Arabidopsis thaliana: one gene and its partners. The protein of the gene in region 3 interacts with the protein of the main gene of each other region in a pairwise test. Each region holds a gene or a part of one and is shown on either strand. Other genes may lie near its edges. The genes, in order: AT2G25310, ZF14, AT2G27290 and AST91.

Region 1 (4,514 bases), 900 kb from region 3:
CAATCATTAGCTTTTTTTTCGTCTATTCACCACCTCACAATTTTGTGATTTGTTTCACTTGGGTTTAAATGGGGCTTAATCATAATGTTAAAACAAAATTGCCTAATAACATTGGAGTGGAATGTTACATATTAGTTATTTATTTGTTTATCATTTTGTTAGAATATTTTTCGGTTTTATTGAAAATAATATATAAGATATATTTTCTTATTATTAAAAACATATATTTTCAAAATATAATCTTCGATAAAATTGTAATAAATTTTTTTAAAAAGAAAAGGATTTTTTTTTTTTTTGTAAAAGTATGTAAATGGAATATATAGTTACCCTTAGTATACATAAAATTGTCAAAAATGGTTAACGCAATACTTCTGACCAAAAAAAGAAATTGATTCATTACATTGTATTTCTATTTTTATTTAGTAAATACATTGTATTCTTTTTCTCAGGAACATACAATTTTTGAAGGCAACTATCACATGCATGTACACAATCTTTTTTAAAAAGCAATATATATCGTTTAGCAAGAAGTTTTATAACCATAAATGTATATAAATACTATAAACAATGTAGCAGTACCGATCACAATATAAAATACAAGTTTTACAAACATTTAATAATGGGTGAGAGCATACAAAGAGTGTGTGCGTCTATCTTAACGGTGATGGTTGTGATGTTATCACTTCTTGAAGATACTAAAGGTAATAATGATTTTGCAATGGCTCCAATTTCAGAGAATGGGTTGCTACCAAATCCAATGGCTTGTGTGAAAGATGCAGGAAAAATTCCAGATTGTGTAGAGGCAATGAAACAAGGTTATTTAAAAGATATAACAAAAGAGTGTTGCTTTATTCTACTTAGTCTTCCCGAAGATTGTTTTGGGATTCTATTTCCTATGCGTTTATACTATCGTATCGTACTTAAGGTTACATGCAAATTATTAGGCATTTTTTAATCACAATTTTTTCAATCATTAGATATTTCTTTTCATGTAACGGTAATTTATTATTAAGATTTATAATAAAATCATCGTTCTTTTAGTGATTTATTAATTATTACCTAAATGATTATACTATAAGTAAGAAATAATATGTGTTGGCTATACTAACTAAAAATTGGACTAGTGATTGTGAGGCCCTTAGTGAGTAGATTAACGAGAAAATGATATTTTCATGCATATACAATTTACAAAGCGTGTTTTCCTACTTTTACAAACACATATGATCAATTCATACCCAAACTACACAAAATTCAAGTTATATATCATTCTAATTTATTAGTCAACCATTACGGTTGCTCAGTCTGCTAACATGTATCTCATGATGTTGCTTAAAACGACATCGTTTTGTTTGTTAGAGCTGAAATTTTATAAACTGTATTTGGTTGACTAACATTCATTAATTATGATTCTAAATTATGTTCTAAATGTGAGTTTGGGTATAAAATTCAAATATTTGTGTAATTTCGATATGAATTATCTTAAGTGTTTGTACATATAAAAAAAAAACACATTTTACAAATTATACATGTAAGAAAATACACTTTACAAATTACACAGGTATGAAAATTATACACTTAATATAGAACAACAACAATTTTGGGGTGAAAATGTAGACTGTCTAAGTGCAAATTGGATCGCATTTTAGCAAACGAAACTAAGTATATAGAATTGTAGATTCCGGTTTAGAGACGAAAAAAAAAAAATCCGGTTTAGAACATCGACCAAATAGGGTTAAGTTAACTGAACTTTTCAGGGTAAAAAAAGTAAAATAAAATAAAATTAAACCAGTACCTTCTCAGTTATCCAGAAGGTTTTGATTTGGTTTTCCTTAACATCCTTCGTCGCCGGAATTTGACGACTAATATCAGACTTCATCAGCTTACGTCGATCTACGTACGACGGCTATGACGATGACGTCGATCATCAGATCCAGTCCTACTCTCGCTTTCATCGTCTTACAGATTTGCTTCATCTTCTTTGCTTCCACTTTCCCTTGCTCTTCTGGGTAAGTAAATCGTTCTCTGTCTTTGATTTCTCTGCTAAATCATCTCAATTATCTAGTCGATGCAATTTCCTGCGAATTTCTTCTGTTGATAATTTGTCTCAATTTGATGATTTAGTTGCTTGCCGAGTTCAGTACTTTGATTTTTTGGAGATCCGAGAATTTATTTCTCTTTGTGTGGTTTATTGTGCAGGTCTGAGGATAGTTACACCATTACTGGTAGAGTCAAGATTCCACCAAGTAGGTTTTAACTTTTCCCTTCTTCTCTCTTTGGGATCTTCCCAAAGATTACTTTACCTTTACGGTTCCAACAATCAGTTCCTAATCTAAAAAGTGATGTGTAGTCTGTTTTGATGTTTTGAATGATGAAATTTGACTGCTTCATGTTTATTCTGAATGTTAAACTCTGTTGAACTGATCTACAAGTTATTTCGTAGGCAACGTGATTGGTCACATAGCAAAGTTCTCAAATGTCAAAGTTATACTCAATGGTGGACAGAAGATTACGTTTCTCAGGCCTGATGGATACTTTACTTTGTATCCTTTTGATCCTTCTGTTATTAAAGTTTCTTTTGAGTATATTATTACTCACAGTAGCTGATGATTGGTTTCTTACTTGCCTTTGATATATGCCAAAAGAAATCATGTTCAGTATTGGCTTGTTATAAATGTTGCTAGAAATAGATCAGGAGAACTAAATACCTTTATGGTTTCATGAAAAGAAGAGTAGTGGAGATGATTCTTACTTTTTGCGGTCCTTGACTAATTGGTTTGTAAAGTCATGAAGTGCCTGCTGGGACTCATTTGATTGAAGTATCAGCAATGGGTTACTTCTTTTCTCCGGTAAGTTTTTATGTGTTGCTATTAATGGTTTCCAAAACTGCAGTTTTGTAAGAATGTGTTGCTCATGCAATGATGGATAACCAAATTCTTAGGTACGAGTAGATGTTAGTGCTCGGCATCGTGGCAAGGTTCAAGCAACACTAACAGAAACCAGGAGGAGTCTTACTGAGCTGGTTTTGGAGCCATTGAAGGAAGAGCAATATTATGAGGTGAGACTTCACATGACTCTTTTCATTATTTGTTTTGCATGTGCTTCTACACATCTGTTTTTTTCTTTCTTTAATCTGATTTGGTCATGTAAAATACTACAGATTCGAGAGCCTTTCAACATTATGTCGATCGTGAAAAGTCCAATGGGTCTCATGGTGGGATTCATGGTCGTTGTTGTGTTCCTAATGCCCAAATTAATGGAAAACATAGGTACGCTTCTATTACCCTCGAAATGTAGGAGTTCACTATGAGCCAACAGATTCATCTTCCGTGTTTTACTTGTAAACAATTCGACTATGGATTTGATGGACATTTGATGTTCCTTATCACATTTCACCAATCTAGGAGCTTTTAGAGCTCTTGAACTGGTTGGTGGATTGCAAGTTAAGAAGAGTTAGTCATCGTTTGCTGATGAACACACCTAAAATGTTTTCGTAAACAGATCCAGAGGAGATGAAGCAAGCACAAGAGGAAATGAGGAGACAAGGCGTGCCTTCGCTCACAAGCTTGTTACCAGGCGCTGGGGCTAGCCGCTAAGAGTTCCTCGGTTAACTCAATGTATCACAAAAGGAATGAAGAGAGATTTCTCAGTGATCTGAGTGAGTTTGGTTGTTCATCTGCAAGTGATGATTTATTAAAGTTCTCCTTTTGAGTATCTGATATGTATAGTCAACTTGTTTCTAAAACCAGAAATGGTCATCTTATTGTTTGTCCTCGACGTCAACTTGTGCTTATGATATGTAACATTATTTTATTTTTTTATTTTGGCTTTGAAATATTAAACTTGGGAACAAGGAGAGCTCGTTTGGTATCTTTCTAATCGGGTGTAACATCATGTTTCATCTATATAGAAAAAGTTTTATACATTCTCACTTTTAACATTTTGATACTATTATAAATATTTTGGATGATTTCATTTTTTCATCATAACTCTTCATTCGTTTTACTTATAACTATTTTGCATCCTTCTATTTATTAATTGGAGGATTGTGTCTCTTAATCATTACTTTTTGTATTGTATTCGCATAATCTTTCATTACAAATGGGTTGCATTACTTGAGTTTTGTCCATTTATCATAATTCTTCATGATACATATAATAACAATAGAACCTCTTATTTTATAAAAAATCATGTCTTGTACATTTTTTCACCTCTATGCAAATTTTAATATCAGTTGCTCGTGGATAAATCCTCATAGGTAGATGTGTCGAACGGCCGGCCCGCTTTAATCTGGATCGGCCTGCAATAGGCATCTGTTTTTGTAAGATTGCAACGGGCTGGCCCGCTAAGATTACGATTGACGAATTTAATGCATTTATTGTATTCTTAAATATGTAAAAATGTTTGAGGAATAGACAATTTAATACATTCTTTCTTATAAAAATAAAAATCCGAATAAATGTGTTTTGCAGTTCTGAACATTTGTGTCTTGTTATCGCAACTTTACATTAATTTTT
Region 2 (4,773 bases), on a different chromosome or scaffold from region 3:
AAAAGATGCTTTCTCTCTGCTCAAAGGAAACAACCAAAATCAAAATAAATGTGATCTCAATTAAATTTTAAAACGTATCGAATCTCAATGGCTTTGAGACAAAGAATATGATAGAATTAAAGGAAATTGTTTTCCATTTTTGGCTACGAATATAATTTCCTTTTATGGAACATGGAACCACCAAAAGCTCAAAAATAAAACATTCATCTTGCCTGTCCTTAAGAAAAGAATTGATTGTTAAATAAGCAAAGCTTTCACAACACAAATACGAATACAAAATAAATTGCAAAAAAATTAACCTATTATGGAACATTTTTACTGTATCCTTAGTTATTCTGATTGTCTTCGGCCATTAGGTTTGATCTACTAGTATGGTCTTTCTCTAGATTTCAATGGCCTAGACACGTCTAGTATCTTGGAATCTTTTTATATATATATATATATATATATATATTAAAGTTGTATTGAGGTTAAATTTTTCATTTTGATTTATACTTAGTTTTTGTGACAAAAATAAAATAAAATAAATTTATTCTTAGTTTAACAAAAAAAATTCACATTCTCCTAGAAAATGGACAAATATATAAAGATAATCAAACCACGAGTTATTACAAAAGGGAACACATAAAATACAAACTGCTGAAGTCAAAGCTAATTAGAACTATCACACCAATACAACCATAAATAACACAAACACCACTAAAGCCCACAAAACAAAGTCGTTCTTAAATCAAAAAGTAGAAATTAAGGAGCACTATAAACTCCAAAAAATGATGACAAGAACATATATGTACGTCAATGTTGATGGCAAATGCCTCCAGAGAATAGCTATCAATCTAAACCAACATGGTTCTCATCATATCTTCTGTACCGGAGGTAGACCGGCTCTTTGAGCTTGCGATGGGGAGAAGGGGCGGAGACTTTCCGGGAGTTTGTGACGTCAGCTCTTCAGCTCTCTCGGCTTGGACTTTCCAATCTGTTCTCAAAAGTGCACACAACATGAGAGAAGCACAAGTTGCTTGAGCTGCAAGCAACCCGAACCAGAGACCTGGAAACCCTTGTTTGAAAACAAACCCAAACAGAATAGCGACTGGCATGCCCACAAAGTAAAATGAACCCAAGTTTATGTTGGCACCAAGTGTAGGTCTTGCACAGCCTCTTAAAACCCCACAACCGGTTGTTTGAGGACAGTTTCCGAGCTCACATAACCCCACAATGGGTAATGCGATGGAAGTCAGCTGAAGAATCTCTGCATCCGTGGTAAACAAGCGTCCCCAATGGTGCCTAACCAGCACAGCAAACACCATCGCCATTAGGCCTAAGGCGATCGCGCAGAAGAGTGAGATGATCATGGATACCCGAGCTTTCGCCGGACGTTTAGCCCCAAGCTCGTTGCTAATTCTTGTAGAGACACCAAGGCTGAGAGAGGATGGGAAGACGTAGACCAAAGCCGTCGTTTGGATCAAGATTCCCATGGAAGCCACGGTGGCTCTTGGGTTAGCCAAAAGTCCACACAAAATGATCATAAACTCGTACCACCACCACTCCAAACAAACAGATACACAAGTGGGTATGGCAAGTGAGAGCAAAGCCGACCAACCTTTAAGAGAGTCAATAGTAATTGGGACCCATGTATCACTATGCACGCTAGTGAAATACACAAAAGAGGATAAGAGGACTACAAGGTTGAGATTTGTCAAAACCATAGCTATAGCGACTCCCGCTACTCCCATCTCAAGTTTCACCACTAGGAGGTAGTTCAAAGGAACGTGGAGGAGAACGGACACGGCCGTGGAGTAAGTCACGGGCAATGTAATGTTTTGTGTTCGGAGGTAAATTCGAAGAGGGTGAAGCAGAGAGAGAAGGAAGAGGTCAGGGATGGCGAATAGAAGGAACTGTTGAGCAACAGAGGAGATCTCTTCATCTTGGCCGCACCATAAGAGGATTCGGCGCATGTTGAGCCACGAGAAGGAGATAGGGACCGAGCAGGAGAGGAGTAGGAGGACGGTTCTTTGAAGGGTTAGTCCTAAAAGCTTCATTTGTTTAGCTCCGTATGCTTGGCCACAGATTGGTTCCATCCCCATGGACAAACCGGAGATGACGGAGTAGCCGGTGATATTGGCAAAGCCTATGGAGAGAGATCCTCCGGCTAACTCAAGCTCACCGAGGTAGCCTAAGAACAGCATCGATATCATCGCTCTTGAGTACATAAGAAGCCCGGTCATCGCCGTCGGCCCAGAGATTTTTCCGATCGCCTTCACTTCCTCTAAGCCCTGCCGCCAGATAATTAAGAAAAGAAAAGTCAAGACCAAGAACCGTCCACGTCAGTAGATCGTTTTTTTCTTTTCCCTGGTTAATGGTTAATTATATTAATCAAATAAAGCTTATCTTAAACCTTTATAAAAAAATGACAAAACCAAATCACCAACCGGGACCAAAGATTTAGGTATATATATAAAAAGGATTGCGAAACTGTTGTTTCTATTTATATATATGTATATGTATATATGCTTTTGGTATAGTTCGTACAATCTAGTTTTGTCAAGAACTAGATTCTTGAATTATTATGTTCATATCTATGTAGAAAAAAACAAACATTTACGTATAGGAAAAAAAAAGAAATAATTTACCTCCAGAAAACTTGGCCATCTTTTAAGGTCTAGAGAATCAGTATCCCTGAATTCAGAATAATGAGGATTATCTGTATCACAGGTTTCGAGTTTTGAGATATGGGTTTTGTCTTTACAAGATAATAAGGAAGATGAAGCAGAAGATGGTTTTGAATTACACATGATTCTTAAGAGGAGTAAACTGGTTTTGTTGGGAGTAGAGATAAAAGGACAAAGAGACAAAGTCTAGAGCTTTTAGTCTTTTGGAGGCAAAACGATTTTATGCAAATGATAAAAGGAACCGAGAGGAACTAATATTTTTAATATGGAATTGGTTGGGCCTTTTGGAGGAGAAAGGCTGACTATTTATAGTTGTAAAGAAGCGATATCGTTTCTACACGTGGCGAAAATTAGTTTTAATTTCTTTTTAACAAAGAATTGATTTTCTAATAGGGAAGTGGGACTTTTTTTGTTTGCTTTGACTAAACAAATCGTGTGTCCACCAAATAAGTCTGTGAGAAGAACGACACACAGGTTTAGGATAGCTCAAGAGTTCACTTTTGAAGAAAGACATAAAAATTGGTTTAGTTAACTATTTTAAAATACATCGCATTACCTTTAATAATAGCAAATCTCTTTCCTAATCTTTAACTCAACTTTGGGCTTCACTATATATTGAACTCTTTCGGTTATGTCGGCTGGCGAATTCACAGTCGTCCTAAGTGCTAGAATATCAGGCTGTTGTTACCTCTTAGGCTGAGAGGATAAAAAGCATTTATTCAATAACGGTTGGTCACATAAGTTGATGGGGTTAGTACTTGTTTTGAAAAATACTTGGGTGAACTTTTTTATTCTAGCCAATCAAAATCTACCACCTAATAAATAATATTAAATTAATTTAATTAGAAAATATAATTTGCCATAAAAAAATTATATATCAGTTATAAGAAAAAGTTAAGATTTCAATTTTATGATTGATGAGATTGAATATCGGTTTGAGTTTATAAACAGATTTAAATTTTACAATTAAACAAGTTTAAATATTGATTTAGGTTTATAAAAGATAATAAAGGTTTTAAATTTTCTAATTAAACGAGATTATATATCGGTTTGGATTTATATAATAGTAGTTAGGATTTAGATTTATAATTAAATGAATTTTACATTTTTATGGCATTTATAGATATTGTATGCTATTTGACTCAAATTTTACGGATTTACAATTTTTATACACTTAACAATGTATATACATTTATGATTTGTTTTTGCTAAAACACATACTCCATAGCAAATATTAAAAACAAACAAAACCAACTAAGGTCGGTCCTATTAATATGCCAATTTTGCCTCTCTCTTTTTTTTTTTCCTTCTTTTTTCTTTTTTTTTCTTTTTTTTTGATAAAAAATGAAATTTTATATCATTTGTGATTTGTGACACAATTACAAATTTTATGCCATTTTGTTTTTCTTTAATTCCGCTGAAACATTTAGAAACAGAGGTCGGTCCTATTTTATAACTCCGAAAATTTTAAGGTTAGGTGTAATGATGTCAAACAGGAAACTGCACTAGATTAGTCTATATACTTTCTGTGAAGATAATCCTTTCTTTTTTTGCACTAACGGTTAATTTAAGTTTTCCTAGTCAATCAAGATAAAATTTAAGTTTTTCCTATGTCTAAAATATCAAATTATGCTGTAAAATGGCATGAGATTTAATTTAGCATTTTCTTCCAATTTCAAATTGCATGTCTATTGCAACTTTAGCATATATAATTTTAACATTTAGGTTTAATGAATATATGTAATGTAATGTAATGTTAAACACTATTATGCAGAAAATGGCTTGAAAGCATGTTCATTGCCACCATACCATGAAACCTAAAAACTATTTAAAATAAATAAATCTTTATAAAAGTAAATGTAAAATATTAATAGTAACTTATTTATTATATATAACTTATTAATGTTAAAATAGCTTGTTTTCTATCAAATGATTACAATTAATTAAAACGTTGTATCAATATTTTACCACAACATGCAATTTCATTTGTTGTATATGTTTTTGGCATATGATCATTTTCTATAAAATTTGGCGTGAAAAGGATCAAAACCGTTATCGGTAGATCAGCATTTCTATTGACCAAATTTCTCACGTGTATGCAAAA
Region 3 (4,045 bases):
TCGATGGTGATGAGAACTCTGTTGCTGTGATTGCTGAGGTCGAGATTTACAAGTTCGAGCCGTGGGACTTGCCAGGTTTTACTTCGGTTTTCTTTCTCTTTATGTTTACTTTGGTTCACTAATTTGAATGTTTGTGCCTATAAAACAGAGGAATCGAAACTGAAATCGGAGAACGAGTGGTTTTACTTCTGCGCGAGGGGGAGGAAGTACCCGCACGGGTCACAAAGCCGGCGAGCCACACAGCTAGGATATTGGAAAGCGACCGGTAAAGAGCGGAGTGTTAAATCCGGGAACCAAGTTGTTGGAACCAAGAGAACGCTTGTATTTCATATCGGTCGGGCTCCTCGTGGCGAGAGAACGGAGTGGATTATGCATGAATACTGCATCCATGGAGCCCCACAGGTTCTTAAAACTTTCATTTTGAATAGGTTGAGTTTTAATGTTTTGAGATATATTGAAATTTGGATTTCACAGGATGCATTAGTGGTGTGCCGGTTAAGAAAAAATGCTGATTTTCGGGCTAGTTCGACCCAAAAAATGGAGGATGGTGTTGTGCAAGACGATGGCTACGTTGGCCAAAGAGGTGGTTTGGAGAAGGAGGACAAATCCTACTATGAATCTGAGCATCAGATACCAAATGGTGACATCGCAGAATCATCAAATGTTGTTGAGGTCAGCTTGCTTTTGAGGAATGTGTCTTTTAACGATGTTTAATACTGGTAAAATTATCCGCTCCAATCTTAATCGAAACCACATTAAATTCAATATAGTTCCGAAAACAGAACCGATTAAGAAACTAAAACCAAACCAACACCATAGTACCATACTATAACGGATTCATAGTACATTAGATTTCACTAAAGTTGTTATTTTACTAAAGCAGATTCTAAACTTAAAACGTAACAAACCAATATATCCAATGTTTGGTTTTTATTTTGGCTACTAATATTATAACTCAATAGACTAAACCAACACTTGGGCTGAACATCCTTAGTTTTCTTGTACTGGTAGAGTTTAGAGTTTGTAACTGAAGTTGATCTCTTTCTATTGCGATGCAGGATCAGGCCGATACCGATGATGATTGTTACGCCGAGATTCTGAACGATGATATAATAAAGCTCGACGAAGAAGCGTTGAAAGCTAGCCAAGCGTTTCGACCAACTAATCCAACTCATCAAGAAACAATATCAAGCGAGTCATCGAGTAAGAGGTCAAAATGTGGTATAAAAAAAGAATCAACGGAAACAATGAATTGTTACGCTTTGTTCAGGATCAAGAACGTTGCCGGAACCGACTCCAGCTGGAGATTCCCGAACCCGTTCAAAATCAAGAAAGATGATAGCCAGAGATTGATGAAGAATGTTCTGGCCACTACTGTTTTCTTGGCTATCTTATTTTCTTTCTTTTGGACTGTATTAATAGCTAGGAACTAAAGCTAGTTACGACATACATATTATTTATACATAAATAAATATAGTATTTGGTCTATGGCAATATGGCATGTTGAGCTAGTCTTAACAATTATTCAAACTTGTGTACAAACCAAAATTTTTATGGAAAAGAGAATATTTTCGGATAGTAAACCTTTATAATCTGGGTGAAAGCTTTGGGAAAGAGATGATAGTTCCGTGAAAATAGAGACAACAAATTTCACATATAGTAAATGTGAATAATACCACCATTTCCTTAAGTTTTGCTGTTTGTTGTATTAGAGATTGCAAAGTGATATTCTTAGTTATATACAATTGTAATAAATTATACAAAATCCATAAGTAAAATAAATTATTTTAGACTATGTTTAGATATACAAAAGTTTCAGTTCAAAATATAAACGCCTGAGAATCAAACAAATGTTGTTTGTAGTTTTTTATATTTATAAAATAGTCTAAAAATATTTTTCTTACTTATGGATTTTTTATACTATATTAAAGTTTTATATATGTAAAAGATTACTCTGGAACCTCTAATACAACAAATGGTATACCTTCAGAAAAAAATAAAAAATAATTGTGTGTCATACAATAAATAAAAATAATAAGGTGAAAAGATTTGCTTTCTGTTTTTTTTGGTGGCTGAAAAAAACAATGGCGATGATGCTTCTGCAAATTCCTCCTTCGTCTTCCTTGTTGAACACCAGAAACCTTCAAATCCGATTCTTCCACTCTTCAGTTTCAGCTTCCTCGAAGAAATTCAGATGCAGAGCCGTCCGTGAGAAGGCGGAGGACATTGATAAGAACATTTCGCCGCCGTCTTCTTCTCCTCCTCCTCCTTCCGCCGAAGAAGTTACCAAGAAATATGGCCTTGAAGTTGGTCTATGGAAGGTAAAATCAATTCGATTGCGCAATTTCTCGTTTTAATTCGTAATCTAAAATTGATGATTCTATCGCTATGGAAGCTTTAAGTGTAAGTAAAATAGTGTTTTTGGATGAACATGTGAGGACATATGATTGTTTCTGAGCTGAATGATAGGCTAATTCAGAGCAATTTTGGTATTAGTAGAAGCTATTGAAGCTTTAAGTGTAACTAAAATGGTGTTTTGTATGATTATGTGAGCAATTTTGTAGTTGTTGAAGCTATGGAAGCTTCTAAGGGTACTAAAATGGTGTTTAGATGATTATGTGAGTAGATATGATCGTTTTCGTGGTAGTTGTAGAAGTTATGTAAGCTTTTAACTATGCTAAAATGGTGTTTTTTTTTATCAACAAGTGAGCATATGTGATTGGTTAGTTTGGAGCATTTTTGGAAGTTGTAGAATCTATGGAAGTTTTTGTGTAGTAAAATGGTGTTTTGGATGGACTTGTGATTAGATATTAAGCTCTAAGGATGATGAAGGAAGTGATGGAGACAATAAGAAGAAGAAATCAAAAACAGATGAGGCTAAAGAGTTACTTGCAAAGTATGGTGGTGCTTATCTCGCTACATCTATTACTCTTTCTCTCATTTCCTTCTCACTCTGCTATGTCCTTGTGACTTCCGGTGTTGATGTTCAAGCTCTTCTTCTAAAGGTTACTACTTTCACTTCTTGATCATACTAAGTTTATGTTTTCTTGATCTTGGGTTGAGTAAAGCTGATTTTGATGTTTTGTGTTTAAGGTTGGGATTTCGACGAATGAGACAGGAGAGAAAGTAGGAGCCTTTGCTTTGGCTTACGCAGCGCATAAAGCTGCATCTCCGATAAGGTTTCCGCCTACAGTGGCTTTGACTCCTATTGTAGCCAATTGGATTGGGAAGAAAGTGGACAAGGAGAAGGATGATGACAAGTAGCTTACTTTGGAGGTATTATAATGTAGATGTTCTATATATTACTTGATAATCAACATACATAATCCTGTACAATCCTCACTTCTCTACCTTGTATGTACAAAAAAGATTGAAGCATATCTGAATATGATGATGAGTTAGAAAGATACAGAACCAAAGAGTGGCAGAATCCAAGTTGTGATATAGTTTTAGACTTGTCTATTTAATATGTGGTTGGTTGGAAATTACGACTTCACGATTCACTAACCTCTAGACATTTGGTAAGTGGGAGAAGTAGTTGTCAAATGGTTGGGAATGATCTCTGTGATCCAGAGCATATGACCTCGATCGTTTTGGTGATGCATTTTAACTTGTACTCTAGAACCTCATTATCTCGGCCCATCAAAATATGAAAACATTGGGCCGTAACAATTGGGCCGTAATCATCTATACCATCTATAGTTAATTGGATCTTTTTATCTCCTCCCTTCCTCTTTCACTTTCTTCCATGGATTACTAAATTCCTTAATCCTGGGAAAATCACACCAATCAACTTTTGTGAATTGTAACCCTAATCGATTCTACAGCGAAATCTACCTATTTCATGCTTGGGTTTGATTAGTGTTTTTCCAGAATCTGGGACTTCGCAGGAATTGCGCTAATTTTCAATCGATTTTGCAGAAGTTTGTTGCTCCTGGAATAGAAATCGAAGATGAAGAAGTACGGATTGCAAATCAGAGCTCCTTCCCAGAAAAAACAATCATCATCTCGACCTCCACTTCGACCCGCTTCAATATTTGATGAA
Region 4 (6,460 bases), on a different chromosome or scaffold from region 3:
TAAAAGAATACCTTATGCCATATGGAAGACTGGAAGTCACAATGTTATCAAGATCTTTCCGCGACCGTATCAAGAATTGTTTTTTCCTAGAAGTCACAATGTTATCATAGCTTTGAATGAATTCGATTAACTTCAGAAATATTTTATCATTTCACAAAAGTAGTAACATCTTATTAAAAATATCTATTAGTTTATGTTATCAGTTCATTTCATCTTTTAATCTAGCTAAATTTTCAATTCGATTTGATTTATAGACCAGTTTTATTTTGAGATAAATTTCTTGCTTATAACGTTTACACAATTATAATCGCAGACACATAGCTGATTTGAAGTCTTCTTGAAAGCAATTGCTTCTTCGATTCATCCGCGTCGGTTTATCCCTCTTGACAATTACACATTGACTTTTGATATATAATGTAAGCTCTAACTTGGCAAAGTTCTTAACACAATTCTGCTCATGGTTTGGTCATATTTTCTAATATTATAAAACATAATTATCTTAAATAAAAATATTATTTTTATTTTTTTATTTAATCAGTTTATTTCATAAATAATTTGGATATACATCCGTTTGATCTAGCTAAGATATCAATTCGATTCTAGATCAATTTTATTCTCGGAGACTAAACATGGCCTAGTAAACTACAAAATGGCGAAATCATACAAACATATCTTGACCAAAATCATCACTGAAGAAAGAGAGAGAAGAACGTAATATTACATCTGTACTGAAATTAAAAGATGAAAAAGAGACAAAAAGAAAAATTTAACCATCGGTTAAATATCAATATTGGACCGATACAAAAAATTATAGTTAAACGTTACTGAGAGATGGCCCTTTAAGAGAGAGCGACGCAACGGCCTCAGCGACGGTTAAGAAGAGAAACTCGGGCCTCATGAACTCTTTTTGTTCGTCAGCTCTTTGAAGCTTCTCCACCACTTCGCTTAGAGGGTTCACAAACACAAGCTTCACACATAAAATAAATATCCAGTTTAGATCAAAATCTAATTAGTTTCCTTGGATAAGTGACAAAATCGGATTGTGAAAACAACTATTTTTACCTCGATGTCCTTCTTGGCGGTTGTTTTCTTAAGTTCCTTAAAAAAGGACACTCCGTTTGTGTCTACACCGCTCACGGCTTTAACATATATAAAAGCAAAGTTAGCTAGTTGAAATATATTGGTTTTCTTGAGTTTTATGGTTTTGCATTAGAAAATTAAAACTAATTAGCAATGAGTGAATTTGCCTTTAAGTCTAATCACATTTCCTATACGGGTTTCTAATAGATTCTATCAAGACTAACCTGACATTTCAAGAATCAAGAACTGTAGGCTAGAATGCTTCTCTTGAGCTTCCTCTTCTTCGCATTCTTCAATCCAACGAGATGTTCTACAAAAAATTTATGCAACACAAAAGCAGAGAATGTTAGTAAATGAAACATAGCTATTAAGAAATGTGGTGTTGACAAAAAAAATGTATTAAGAAATGTGGTTACAATCTAATAAACATCAGGGTTCATAAACATTTAAGAGATCAAAGTCTAATGTATCCGAACTTCCAAAATCTATATAGAAAGGATCGTAGTTTCATAGCTAACCTTTCAGTGAGGTAGTTAGAATTGGCGAAATTGACAGGAGATTCGATGCTTAAAACAAGAAATCCCGGGATCCTTTGTGCTTCTTTGTAATGATGAAGATCTCGGTATATATCCGTTCCAGGAATATTACCCATTATAACCATTTTCGGCCTTGTTACTTGCATCAATATCTTGAACAACGATAGCCCCACCGCAATGGCTAGACCGTTTTGAACGGATAGGAAAATGACACCAAAGAACGCGCAAAGCATCACCAAGAAATCAAATTTATCGATCTTCCATATGTGACAGGCCGCGGGAAGGTCGATGAGACCAATGACCGCGGTCACAATGATGGCACCGAGGACCACATTGGGAGTGTATTCGAAAAGCGGCATTAGGAAGAGAAGCGTAACCATAACAGTGACCGACATAACAATGTTTGAAACTGCGGTTTTAGCTCCCGCGTTGTTGTTGACCGCTGATCTAGAGAATGCTCCGGTTGTGACGTAGCAAGATGTGGCAGAGCCTACTACGTTCATCAGACCAATGGCGATCATCTCTTTGTTTCCATCTACGTGGTAGTTCTTTAGCGCTGCAAATGTTCTTCCCACTGCGATTCCTTCCTGTTCAAGTAATAGCTAGTTAGGTGTGAGGATTATTTCAATCTCTACTTTCTTTTTTTTCTTTTTTTGCATAGACAATAAAAAGGTTTTTTATGGAAAAATAAAAGCTGATTTGTATTACGAAAATGTGATAAATTTATTTCTCACGTAAAAGTTGCGTTTGAAAAGAATAAAAAAAAACTATACCGTGAGGGAGACGATTCCGGTGACGAGTCCGGTTTTGGCGACGAGTGCGAGATGACTACCGTGAAACTGAAGCATGTTCCAAGACGGTGGATTCAAACCTTCTGGTAATTTCCCGATCTATCAACAAATTAATCCTAGATTTCAAAAATTCTGCAAAACAAAGAAACAAAAACAGAGAATTGGTTTAGGTAAGAGGAAACTTACGACGCTGATTCCGTGACGCTCGGCTCTGAAAACAAAGACAAGAAGTGTAGAGACGATAACGGAAAGAAGTGGTGCTCCGGCTGAGACCCAAAACAGCTTCGGCTTCTTCATGCTCTGCGTTAAATTTCCATTCTTATTATTACTTAAGAGGAAACCAGATCAAAGTATGTAATAGCTATTTAAGTCATTAAATTAATTATATATTTAACTTTTTGATGAAATAACAATTTGTTTTTCTACTCCAAAACAATTAGTTCGTTATTTATGGCGGGAAGAACGTATAGAGAGAAACAATGACGGTCCATCGTAACAAATGTTGTACATGCATATTGAGGGAGAATGAAAATGATAAATGAATAGTGAGAGGTAAGCAACATACGAGGTGACGTGTCGAGAGCAAGAAGAGCAAGAAGCAAACTCCCATCACAATTGTTTGCCATGACCACTGTATAATAGTAACATTGTAAATAAAATTGACTAAAATACAGGAATTAGGAAAAAGAAGAAGAAGAGAAATTAAACCTCGTTGGTGTGTTGGAAAACAGAGGAGAGAACAGGGACTACACTCATATGCTTTGTGAAATGAGTTATCCCAAGCAGACCCTTTAGCTGTTGGAGTGATACAATTATGGCTGCTCCACCCATAAACCCTATTAGCGTCGCTTTTGATAGAAAGTCTATTATAAATCCCAGCCTACATATTAAAAAATAAATACAGTTAACACAATGTCTCTTTTTCTTAAACAACATCTTCTCCATTGCCACTTGGTGGTGCAATTACTCTTTTTTGTTTGATCATGAATTATTTTATATTTGTGTTAGAATACACATTAATATTTCTTAGAACATTTTATGAAAATATTTATTTTTCACTAGTGATAGAATAATAATATATGATTGATTAATGATTATTTATCACTTTTTCTAAAAAGCTTATTATATTTTGGACTAGGGTCAATAATGATAATTGTCTAGTAAATATGTACTACCCAAACATTAAACCTGAAAACAATCTTAACTTTGTTTTCTAATCTTGAAAAGCAATTAATATAAGCACCGACGACATTTAACATTTAGTAATACTAGCGTGTACATGTAACCCTACAGACTGCCACTAGCCTAGCACAGGCCCAATATTGACCTCACATAACACACTATATTTCAACAGATATAAATCATGGTTCATGCAAAGCTACAAAAAACTTTTTAGGTAAATATATAAATTTATAACCTGAGGATTCCAAGAGAGGCTTGAAAGAGACCAGCAAAGAAGGTAGAAGAGAAGGCTAGCTGTAGAAAGAGAACAGGATCGTCTACGGGAGATACTTGTTGCCTTAGCATGGATCCTAAGATTAACGACGCTATGGAGACTGGTCCCACTGCTAGATCTCTTGAGCTTCCCAAGACCGCATAAACCAACGGTGGCACGAAGCTCGAGTCTACACATACATCAACACACGTGTTTATGTAACGGTCTATAATGTTTCATGTATATTCTATTCAATTTTACTTTCAGATTCTTACATAGACCAACGATTGGTGGCAAATTTGCTAGCTTCGCGTAACTAATCCCCTGTTTTTATGAAAACCAAGAAGACGAAGATTATAATCAAGAATTGCATAAAATGGTGGTCGTTATTGATCGGAACGTGAAAATGGGTCGTCGTCGGATTTTTGATACGTACGTACCTGAGGAATAGCTAAACTAGCGATGGTAAGACCTGAAACGACGTCGGATTTGAGTAGGCTGAAGCTGTACTCAGGACACCATTGGAGGATTGGAAAAATGTATTGAGCGGCGCGTATGAGCTTGGTACGGTTTGGTTGTCCTCTGAACTGTCTTAAGGGATCGTCCGGGAAGAAAGTCTCCTTCAGTTTTGTCTTTAGCTTTGCCACCGTGCTCTTATGCGGCGGAGCAACCACCTTGTGCACCTCCATTAATTGGTTTTCCTAAGAATTTTTGTCACCAATGTGTGATGTTTCCTCTCTTGGCTCTTTGCTGATAATTTAAACATGAGTATTATTTCGGGTCGGTCTTTACATTTTATAATGGTCTTATCTTGGCCTATCTTTTATTTTTGATATGAAAAAAAAAAAAATTCGGAAAGTTACACGTATACTGTTGTCTCTGTATTTTTTTTTTGTTTTGTAATTTGAGCCGATAATCCGTTGTGAATTTCTCTTTTTTTTTTTTGTTGGCGTTTGTCTATTATTTACCCTATGAATATTGATTCGTGTAAAAAAAAAAAACTGATTCGTGTCTATGCTCCAAATCTTTCACATTTTCTATGTTCGATTAAAGATGAAATACATAAGAAAAACATAATATTTTAATTAAAACATTCGCGCGCCACCTTGAGAACTTGTAATAATGCATATATAGCTATGACGTATTTAAGTGGTTGTAAAGACAAAAAACAAAAACAGAGTTTTATAATTATGATCACTGGTATGGTAGATGCATAGTTTTGTGAAGCGACTGACAAATAGAACATTTTAGTTGAATGATTTTATTTTTGTAGAAAATAATATAACAACAACTAATTAGTATCTTTTTTATTAAGTACGATAAGTACTAATTATAACACTATATATATATTTGTAACCATAATTTTTTTAACATTCTTAGTTTCCAAAATTTTAAAATGCAAGAACCTCAGTACAACGTTTTCTCCGTATTTAGTTGATGTTAATGTTATAGTAGGAAAAAATGTTCTAAATTAGATGATGTTTTTAATTTTTAATGCAATATTAATTAGTTTTTTTTTATTGGTTTTGATGATTTATAATATACAGATAATTTTTTCTATTGGTTAATTAGATAAATTGATGTTTAAAAAAATAAAATTAAAAATGATTCAATCGGTGTACAAAAACTTTAAACACCAAGTAAAAAGACACGAAGATAGTACTATAATACTATGAATAATAAATAAATGGGTGAATCTATATATACATTTTTGCAGCCATTTTGTGAAATAAATCCTGGAGTTGGAACTTATTTACAAAGGCTGCCACTGACTTTTAATTATTAGTTTTTTAGCAATAAATTGATTAACAAACGAAAAACATTCTAAATATATTCCAATCCCATATATCACGCAGATTTTTCCAAAATTTAAACTAAATTTCGGCAACTAATTAAAACAAAAAATGTTTGACAACCCAAAAGACAATTGCAATCCCTTAAAATGAGCAAAACGCAACTAAATACATTTTTTATCAATTCACTAAATCTTATTTCTTCAAAATTTGAACTAGATTTCGACAACTATTTAAAACAAAATTTTGTTTGACAAACTAAAACACAATTGCAATCCCGTAAAATATTTATTTTAATTATAAATTTAAATTAGCGGGGTACCGCGAGCTTTTTTTACAGGACGGGTTTGGCGGAACGGGTTTGGAAGGACGTTACTTAATAACAATTGTAAACTATAAAATAAAAATAATTTATAAATAGATATAATTTGCAAAATTTTTATATATATTAACTTAAAAAAATAAATTATCTCCGCGGTGTACCGCGGATTAAAATCTAGTTACATATTAAAAACATAACAACTAAGAAAATTTGAGTATCAATAATGCATAACTATCTGTTCATGTACCCGTTGAGATCGCTAACAAACAGAGAGACGATCAGACGACCAACTAGCTAGTCTACAGTAGGAGTTGTTAGTTGTTACATTGACCCGGACAAAAAATGTTGATGATTTTAGACTTATCGTCTTTGGCTAAAGATATTAATACATATCTATATAACATATTTATATATATGGATATAATGTCTGATCTTGCATCAACAATTATCCAAGATAATTGATTAACACTAAAATTAACAGCGGTTGAAAAACTGTATATGTT

Evidence for each region.
Region 1: the proteins of AT2G27290 (region 3) and AT2G25310 interact in a protein complementation assay, tested with the Arabidopsis thaliana proteins (one large-scale study listed by BioGRID).
Region 2: the proteins of AT2G27290 (region 3) and ZF14 interact in a protein complementation assay, tested with the Arabidopsis thaliana proteins (one large-scale study listed by BioGRID).
Region 4: the proteins of AT2G27290 (region 3) and AST91 interact in a protein complementation assay, tested with the Arabidopsis thaliana proteins (one large-scale study listed by BioGRID).

Annotation. Positions count from the first base shown.
Region 1 is NC_003071.7:10,776,515-10,781,028, reverse strand, and holds AT2G25310 (ER membrane protein complex subunit-like protein (DUF2012)), read left to right. Parts: upstream 1-1,764; 5' UTR 1,765-1,905; coding exon 1,906-2,006; intron 2,007-2,196; coding exon 2,197-2,243; intron 2,244-2,440; coding exon 2,441-2,540; intron 2,541-2,782; coding exon 2,783-2,846; intron 2,847-2,938; coding exon 2,939-3,055; intron 3,056-3,157; coding exon 3,158-3,266; intron 3,267-3,498; coding exon 3,499-3,593; 3' UTR 3,594-3,961; downstream 3,962-4,514. Other genes in the region: AT2G25312 (ECA1 gametogenesis related family protein), read left to right, coding at 620-955.
Region 2 is NC_003070.9:21,651,181-21,655,953, reverse strand, and holds ZF14 (MATE efflux family protein), read right to left. Parts: upstream 2,967-4,773; 5' UTR 2,793-2,966; coding exon 2,631-2,792; intron 2,274-2,630; coding exon 837-2,273; 3' UTR 515-836; downstream 1-514.
Region 3 is NC_003071.7:11,677,805-11,681,849, reverse strand, and holds AT2G27290 (FAM210B-like protein, putative (DUF1279)), read left to right. Parts: upstream 1-1,930; 5' UTR 1,931-2,084; coding exon 2,085-2,321; intron 2,322-2,807; coding exon 2,808-3,005; intron 3,006-3,093; coding exon 3,094-3,264; 3' UTR 3,265-3,545; downstream 3,546-4,045. Other genes in the region: NTL8 (NTM1-like 8), read left to right, coding at 1-75, 149-402, 475-672, 1,059-1,433; AT2G27285 (nuclear speckle splicing regulatory-like protein (DUF2040)), read left to right, coding at 3,953-4,045.
Region 4 is NC_003070.9:8,184,424-8,190,883, forward strand, and holds AST91 (sulfate transporter 91), read right to left. Parts: upstream 4,812-6,460; 5' UTR 4,532-4,811; coding exon 4,283-4,531; exon of another isoform or gene 4,167-4,282; coding exon 4,118-4,166; exon of another isoform or gene 4,033-4,117; coding exon 3,825-4,032; intron 3,288-3,824; coding exon 3,116-3,287; intron 3,039-3,115; coding exon 2,973-3,038; intron 2,708-2,972; coding exon 2,594-2,707; intron 2,507-2,593; coding exon 2,390-2,506; intron 2,204-2,389; coding exon 1,599-2,203; intron 1,391-1,598; coding exon 1,305-1,390; intron 1,140-1,304; coding exon 1,063-1,139; intron 968-1,062; coding exon 815-967; 3' UTR 502-814; downstream 1-501. UniProt on the Arabidopsis thaliana protein: H(+)/sulfate cotransporter that may play a role in the regulation of sulfate assimilation.